Kluyveromyces lactis: one gene and its partner. The protein of the gene in region 2 purifies or fractionates together with the protein of the main gene of each other region. This does not show direct contact. Links are inferred from orthologs where the notes say so. Each region holds a gene or a part of one and is shown on either strand. Other genes may lie near its edges.

Evidence for each region.
Region 1: the proteins of RGT1 (region 2) and CYC8 purify together in Saccharomyces cerevisiae (affinity purification with western blotting; 3 studies listed by BioGRID). This does not show direct contact. The link is inferred for Kluyveromyces lactis from reciprocal best matches to the Saccharomyces cerevisiae genes RGT1 and CYC8.

Annotation. Positions count from the first base shown.
Region 1 is NC_006038.1:812,523-817,102, forward strand, and holds the start of CYC8 (transcription regulator CYC8), read left to right. Parts: upstream 1-1,780; coding exon 1,781-4,580. Other genes in the region: DNA repair protein RAD16, read right to left, coding at 1-52. UniProt on the Saccharomyces cerevisiae protein: Acts as a component of the CYC8-TUP1 corepressor complex which is involved in the repression of many genes in a wide variety of physiological processes including heme-regulated and catabolite repressed genes.
Region 2 is NC_006042.1:2,377,035-2,381,417, forward strand, and holds the start of RGT1 (Rgt1p), read left to right. Parts: upstream 1-1,429; coding exon 1,430-4,383. UniProt on the Saccharomyces cerevisiae protein: Glucose-responsive transcription factor that regulates expression of several glucose transporter (HXT) genes in response to glucose.

The DNA of each region.
Region 1 (4,580 bases), on a different chromosome or scaffold from region 2:
GAGTCCGGTTCCCGCTCTGCCTTGTCCTTCTGATGAACCCACCTTCCTCCATCGTCATCTTATTTTCAACTCAGAGATCAGTGCAAGTTCCCTTGTTTGATGCGTGTATTCTTATAATTTGCTGATGCTAATCAGTATCTCCAAGCTTGCAACAATGTATTAAGGTTAGCCTTTGTAGTATTTCGGGCTTCAGCAAACGCTTTTTTCATCAGAAATGAATCAGGATCCATCATCATAGGTAAATGTTTAGCCATGTAGAAAATCACATCAATACCTTTTCTTTTTCGAGGAAAATGCAGTCGTTTCTTTTTAATCAAGATCAGAGTTGTTCCGGGCGGAGAAACTTGCCAAGGTGACGTACGTACCTCAATATTTCTTTCGGAGAAACAACAAGATCAGAATGATCACGTGACCAATTGACCAAAAGATGTGGCTCATTCATAGGAATAAAAACCGTACGCTCTACACTGTACACTACCACGCGTCTTCGCTCACTCCATGGTATACAAGGGTGTTGCTGTCATACCGTCTCGGCTGTTATGCGAAGGTAACGAAATATTTTTTTTTTTTCTTTCGAAAAAAACGTCGACTCAAGCCATCATCACAAACTCGTCCCAGAAGCAACGTACGACTCGCATATTTGCTGAATCTGGCAAATCGCATACCGTAATATCATTAGAATTAGCCCCAAGGCAATTCTTAAGCACTCGAGGGAAAAAAAAAAGATAGAAACGAACATTCACACACAGAAACTTACAGCTGAGAGAAAGAAAGGAAACAGTAGAAAAAAAGAAAAAGCAATGATGAAGTAAGCCTGATTAACATGGTGGTGCGAGCGCCAATGCTTTGCATACTTTACCTGCCTCTGTTCCACTGAAAATCCAACAGAGAAGTGTTTGCAGCAGATAACACGAACACAGACATCAGTTTTTTTTTCCCCGGTCAGGGTGAATTCATCGCCTCCCTCCACTTCGTATTATCACCCCTCGAGTTTTTGATTCGTAATAGAAGAAGGCAAGAATCCTGTGATATTTTATCGTTTCTTCCATGATGCAGGTTGTCAGAGAGAAGATTCTATATGCCAGGAGATAAAATAAAGAGCTACTCCACAGACCTACCTGTACAAGTAGACTCAATGGAGACGTTCATACACAAGAGTAATTAGATATAGGGTAGACATAGTACTAAATAGATACAGCATCTTGACATAAAACTGACGGTTTGCCAAAATGTCGACATTACTGAGAGATTCCGCTAAAAACGCCCGCAGATTCCGTTGAAAAAAAAAAAAAAAAAATTAAAAATAACAAATAAACGTTTGCATTGGTTTTGAAGAAACAGAAAAAAAAAAATTGAAATAAATAAATGTTTAGAATTCTACTAACACGATACTTAAGTTTGATTGTCAACATCTTTGTTGTTTTTTTTGGAGAGAAGGACACAAATAGGTAACGAAGATCTGCGAGAATTATTGGTTCTGTATTTTGATAGTAGGTTATAAACCTGGAACGATTGATCGTACTTTAGCTCAGTGATAATAGCGAGAGCCAGGTTATTTTTTAAGTGTGACGTAAAGGGTTTGTATTTTGGTCTACTAAAAGCAAGAAATATTCAGACTTATAGCCTGGGAAATAGCACGAATACACTCTCACACGCTTGTACTATACTATTTTTCTACTTATAATTTTTTTTCTTTGTGTGCAAAATATAAACAGATTGGATATCCAGGTTTGGATTGTATCGAATAGGTAGGAAACGAAACAGAATTGGCGTTTGATATATGCTGAACGCAATTTCAGGTCCAGCAATGGCAGTCTCGTTACAACAACAGCAACAGCAACAACAACAACAGCAACAGCAGCAACAGCAACATGGATTATTGGGACACCAACATCAGCAGGGCATGTTGCAAGGGTTACCACATACCATGAATGGTGCGGTTGCTGCTTCTCAATTAGCAATGCAACAACCAGGCCAAGCGTCAGAATATGGCAATGAACAGGTACCAGGACAAAGTCAGTTGCCGATAGAGGTACGTCCTCAGGATTTGTTGCCGGTTAAACAGCCTTTGAAGCCTCTAGATCCGTTGTCTCAGTCCACAGCAGAGACCTGGCTGTCCATTGCATCTCTGGCAGAGACTTTGGGCGATGCTGATCTGGCTGCAATGGCATATGATGCGACTTTACAACATAACCCATCGTCGACAAACGCATTGACATCGTTAGCTCATCTATATAGGTCTCGTGATATGTTCCAAAGAGCTGCAGAGCTTTACCAAAGAGCTCTTTCTGCGAACCCAGAGCTGGGCGATATATGGGCTACTCTTGGCCATTGTTATCTAATGCTTGATGAATTACAAAACGCATATGCAGCTTATCAACAAGCCCTTTATCATCTATCAAACCCAAACATACCGAAACTATGGCATGGAATAGGTATTCTATACGACCGTTATGGATCTTTGGATTACGCAGAGGAAGCATTTGCCAAGGTTTTGGAACTTGACCCACAATTCGAAAAGGCAAATGAAATTTATTTCAGGTTGGGTATCATTTACAAACATCAGGGGAAATGGAATCAAGCCTTGGAATGCTTCCGTTATATCCTGCCTCAACCTCCTGCTCCGTTACAAGAATGGGATGTCTGGTTCCAATTGGGTAGTGTTTTAGAGTCAATGGGTGAATGGCAGGGAGCTAGGGACGCGTATGAACATATCATATCACAGAACGACCGCCATGCAAAAGTCTTACAACAGCTCGGTTGCCTATACGGTATGAATAATGTATCATTTTATGACCCACAGAAGGCTCTAAATTTACTTCTCAAATCTTTGGAAATCGATTCTACTGATGCTACTTCGTGGTACCATTTGGGTAGAATTCATATGATCAGAAATGATTACACCTCTGCATATGATGCCTTCCAACAAGCCGTTAACCGCGACTCAAGAAACCCAACATTCTGGTGTTCCATAGGTGTATTATACTACCAGATTGCTCAATATCGTGACGCCCTAGACGCTTACACCAGAGCAATCAGATTGAATCCTTATATCAGTGAAGTGTGGTACGATTTAGGTACTCTATATGAAACTTGCAACAATCAGGTCAATGATGCATTGGATGCATACAAACAGGCTGCAAGGTTGGACCCTAACAACGTTCATATTAGGGAAAGGTTAGACGCCCTCACTGCTCAAATAATGAATCAACACCAATCGGGCGAACAGCAACAACAGCAACAACAGCAACAGCAACAACAGCAACAACAGCAACAACAGCAACAGCAACAGCAACAGCAACAGCAGCAACAACAGAAGATTGAATACAATCAGCAGCCTGCTCTTCCTTTACCATCTCAATTACAGCAACCCCAACAACCAAACCAACAGCCACAACAACCAGTGATGTTACAACCAATGCTGCAAAACAACACACAAATGTTCAATCCTCTGAATGACAAGCAACAAAATGGCCAGGAGCAACAATATGCTGTCCAACAGTTCCAACAACAGCAACCTATTCAGCACACTAATATGCCACCGGTTCTTCAAAGAGTTGATCAGCAGCATCCACAAGTTGTGCAGCTACTGCATCAACAGCAACAACAAGACCACGAACATCCACAACAATATCAGCAATCCCTGCAAACTCAACAACAACTACCACCACCACAAACCCAGCAGGTGCAACAAGGACAGCAAGGACAGCAAGGGCAGCAAGGACAGCAAGGATACCAAAATGGACAGGAACAATCGCTTCAAAATACCACACAAGCCTCCCAGGTCACACAAGCTCAACAAATCCCTCCGCCACCCCAAGTGCAACAAACCATTCCTCAAAAGAGACCTTTGGAGGGGGGAATGGATACATTGTTCAACGCTATCTCACAACAAGAGCAGGAGCAACAGAAGCAAAAGGAGGCGGAACAGCAGCAAACGACAGCACCACAAGTCACGACACCCCAAGTTACGAACACCGTACATAGTACACCTTCCGAGCCAAAAGTCGAACCTAATGATAACAACCTTGGCATCGTCAACGATACAAACAGCACCATTGCACCAGCTACGCAAAATGCTGACACAACTACCATCGTACCAGCAGAAGGAAAGCAAGAGTCTGTACAAGTTACTGAGGCTGAGGGACAGCAACCACAAGAATCTCAGGCACCTGCTGGTGAACCTGAAGCACCAACCTCAGAAGCTAACGTTGTTGAAAACACAAGTGCCACCGAGAATCATAATGGAGCAGAACCTGCAGTAGCTAAACCTGAGATAACGGAGCAACACGCCATTGACACTCCTGCTGCAAATAACCTACTCAAAGATGGCTTCTCTGACAGTCAACAAAAGATTAATGGAGCCCAGAATAAAGATGCCTCCTCTGAAACTGTCGTTGAGCCTGTTACGAAGAAACAAAAACTGGATACGGAAGAAACCGTAATCAAGCCAAGTGCTGATGCAATTGAAAGCATAAAGGAGCAGGAGAAGATTCGCCAAGAGGAGGAGAATGAAACTCTGGAAAAAGTCGAAAAGAGTGCGGAATCCATTCCAAAGGAAAAAGTTGTGAGACAAGTCG
Region 2 (4,383 bases):
GAGCGGCTTGAACATGTTATATTCCGGTCTACCCCGGAGAAAGATGTTTCACGCGCTGAACAGGAGAAGGTCATTGTATATATTCCTACTTTTTTCTGTTGCCTCTCTACTTTCTGGTGCTATTTGTAAGAGTTTTTTTTGTTTTTCATCTTTCCGCCGGATTGGTTAATTTCCCCGGAGATTCCATTTCTCCGGCCTTGAAACTGCCGTACAAACCATTGGCTCCTTTCGAAAATGGTGGAATCCACTTCCCGAAAATGACCGAGCTGACAAGAAACTGCCCAACTGAAGCTCGAGGGATTCGAACCGTTTAAGCTTCACTGACGTCCGACTATCTACTTTGACAAAAAAAATAAGGACCTTCTTCCATACTCTTATTTGACACCAAACACTTACGTAGTTATGGTTCGCTACAGTTAACACAGGAACATACAATTATAGCAGAGATCGTAATATTTGGAAAGTAGAAAAATGAACTTGTCATTGTTCTGCGCTGGCAGTTCCGATTACCTTGGGTAATTGTGCCAGTTTAGTTCTGTTCATCTTTACATGAAGCCTTTCTAGATGCCTTCGTATCCTGTCTTCTTCTCTGTGTATATTCTGAGTATATTATCGTAACCGTATGCGACAAAACGTAATTGAACTGGCAACTGACTGTAGATCAGTAGTGGGAAACGCAATGTACTGCCGGTGCTCTGATTAATTCCCCTCAGTTACTCTGTGTCGCCTAAGAAAATGTCCTTAAGCTTTTTCCTTTCTTTCATAATCTCCTATATAGTCCGGGAATCATATAGAGAAACAGGAAAAAAAAAACGAAGAAACATCGATGCAGTCCCACATAAAAGTCCAATTTTGGGCCAAAAAAAAAGTATGAACAGTGGAAAACAGCACAATCATTGGAATTAATACGATCCCAATTCAGGAATTAAAGAAGGATTTGCTTTGTTTCTGTGAAATCAGGTATTCTCCGTGATTTGGCCCTTTTCCAATTACTTCCTGCTCCTTCTCTCTTCGCTATTGGAATTGTACAACTTTTAGTTCAAGTATAATTTCAGTTTTATACTTATTATACTAATTTTTTTTTTCTTGGGTAACGTTTCCTTCCAAACTAACAGATTTCATTCAACCTTCAACACTCCAGGAGTACTGGGACTAAGTAATTAAGCATTGAGGTGGGTACAACTCTTGGATTATTAAACTGAGGCCAAAATCATATATTACGCGAAATTCTATCACTACCACCCCATAATTTCATCCTATTTTCTGTCAAAATAAAGGAATACAATTATCAGGGGAAGGAACAGTAAACATAGATTTCGGAACAAGAAACATTAGAGTACGCTTCACAAATCCCAGAGAAGAACCATTTTAGCTGCAGCAGAAAGGGTGTCATAAGAGATACCAATACGTTTTACTTTGTTTTCAAACTATGCTAAGCGCATTAATTCAAAATGGAATGTCAAAGTCTGGCGATCCAACAGATGTGGAAAACAATACTACAAACGGATCGTCAAGTACCACGGACAATGCCAATGATGTCGGAAGAGGTGTTAACACTGAAAATAACTCCAAATTGGAAAATGACAGCTCGAATGCAGCGACGATAACTACATCGAAACAGGACCCATCTGCTGTAGATGAAGCAACGACTCCGAGGTCGATCAATACAGGAGCTTCTACAGTACCTGAGCCTGATAATACAAGAAGAGATTCTGTTAGCAGCAATGTGTCAACGGCGACAACAGAATCGAGAAGAAGATCTAAGGTGAGCAGAGCTTGTGACCAATGTCGAAAGAAGAAAATTAAATGTGACTTTATTGAGGGGCACGATATAAACCCAGATCAGAGCTGCACTGGTTGTCGCAAAATTGGTGAAAAATGCAGTTTCGAAAGAATTCCGCTGAAAAGAGGACCGTCCAAAGGGTATACTAGATCAAATAGCCAAAGCAGAGAAAGACGAGGCTCTCAGCGACGCAGATCTTCTTCTGAAGTCTCTCAGAAGGGCAAGAAACCTTCTGTTAGTAATCCTGTGAATGCAGTTAACGAATCAAAATCAGAAGTGGATGCTTCCTTACACCCAGGTCAATCTGCTACATCGACGACGAACGTATCATTACATCCATTGTTACAGTACTTACCAGGAATGAACCATTCTGCAGTGTCTGCTTCATCTCCTTCAGCTTTGCAACAACCTTTTTGGAAAGTTCCTTATCACGAGTACCAGAACCAGCGAAGGCCATCGCTTGATTCATTGGCTAGTGATTCTTCACAAAAACCCGGTGGTAAAACAAATCAACAACAGCCACTTCCGTCGCAATCACAACCACAGTCGTTACAAAATATCGGTAACTCAAGGTCAAACACTGGGCCATTACCTACGCAGGACACTTTCCGCAACCAGAGGTACTACTATCAACCGTCACAAGATTCGGTGTCCGAAGCAGGCTCAGATAACAGAAGAGGATCATCTGCCATCCCACCACTCCTTAACCCGGCCATTCAGCTTCAACAGCAGCAGTATTCTTACTCACAATTTGCCATAGCGCAGCAGCAGCAGCAGCAGCAACAACAACAACAACAACAACAATTGCAATTACAACAACATCTACAACAACAACATCAGTTACAACAACAGCAATCCCTTCATTCGCCCCAAGCCAACACTATGAATGCTAGTACAGGTATATCGAATGGAGGATTTGTGCCATATTCAGGGAATAAGGGACTTCCTTCAGGTGGTCACGTTCTAGAGAGAACGGATAGTGTTGCTAGTGATGCAATGTCGTTAAATGCCTCCCCGAATATTTACACTGCAGAGGTAGAATCGGCTCCAGCGTCACCTGTTCAAAAGAAGAGAAAGAGATCAAATAGATCAAGTACATCAAAAAAAGGGAAATCTACCCAACAGAACCTGCCTGCTACTACTCCTACTTTGATTAACTACGGTCAGATCGCTGATGCCCAATTAATTGACACATACTATGCATATATCCATTTGAGGTTCCCTATTATTCCTATCAATAAAGACACTTTAACTAATGATCTATTACTCGTCAATACCCAACCAATTTCCGAATTACATGAATTAAACAACTACATCTTACTTTGGTTCAGAAATTCATTGGAACTACTTATTCGCATCTGTTTAAAAGACAAAGAATCAGAAGAAATATTGTATCAACAATCAACGTTTGTCAGTGCTATCAATGAATGTTTCCAGAAAATTGTGGATATTCATCCAAGGTTTAGAGACTTGGAAACCCAAATTGATGAGAAAATTGCTACGATATATCTTGTTACATTCATTATCCTCAATTGTACTTTGGCTTTAGTCAGCTATAACAACTCTTTCGTCCTTGGAATGTCGGTAATTATTTTCAATGAATTAAAGCTCTGGAAAAATTTTATCTTCGGCAATTGGAATACTGTTACTGGTCACGATAAGATCTGTTTGCGATTGTATTTTGAATTGAATACATTTGACTCTTTACAATCTTGTTCTTTCGGTGTGCCCAAATTAATGAATTTGAAGCTTGACGAAACGACTGCATCAAAGCTATTTTATGACGAAGTATCAAATGATGGTACCGGCCAGGAAACGGATAAATGGAACGTTGACGAGGATCCAGAAAGAATTCGAATTATAGTTGATAATATGGAGTTAGGCTATTTCCTATCAAGACTATGCCAAGCCAGAAGATCGTCTTTCGAGAAACCTCTACCTCTTGTCGGTGAACATAACGAAAATAAAACTATACCAGGCCTATTCCGTGCATTCCTTTCAATTAAAAGACAATTCACTGACACTTTACTTGACTTACCAGATGCTGAGGGGAAGCTACCAGAAATGACACCAGAGCTTGTCACGAGACTAAGCAATATGATTTGTGATTTGACCACAACCATTCATGACTTACTAAAACTAAATGTCGAGGTCAACCCCACTAATTGTTTAGAGTTGTTCCCCGACAATTCTATGCAAACGGTAGACGAATCTTCGGCACACAATTCAGCAGCACAATCATCAGATCCGTCGAATATTGAAGTTGGGACCGTATCACCCTACGTTATCGCAATATACAAAGATCTATTTAACGTTGTTGAATTGATTAAGAACATGCCAACCTCGTTAATTGGATGCGTTATGGGTACACAGGCTCCAAACTTCGATTCACAGCCACTAGTACTACAACTATCTCAATGCATGAACAACATGCTACAGATAACAACCTTTACTAGCAGTTTGAGCCCTTTCAAGATATTTAAACATGAACTGAATGCTCAATCCAAAAACAAAACCATAGATGCAGTACCATTGTGGAAACAGAAAATGAAAAGTTCTTTAGCACCTCTCCAAACGGCAATAACACCACAAGAAATAAT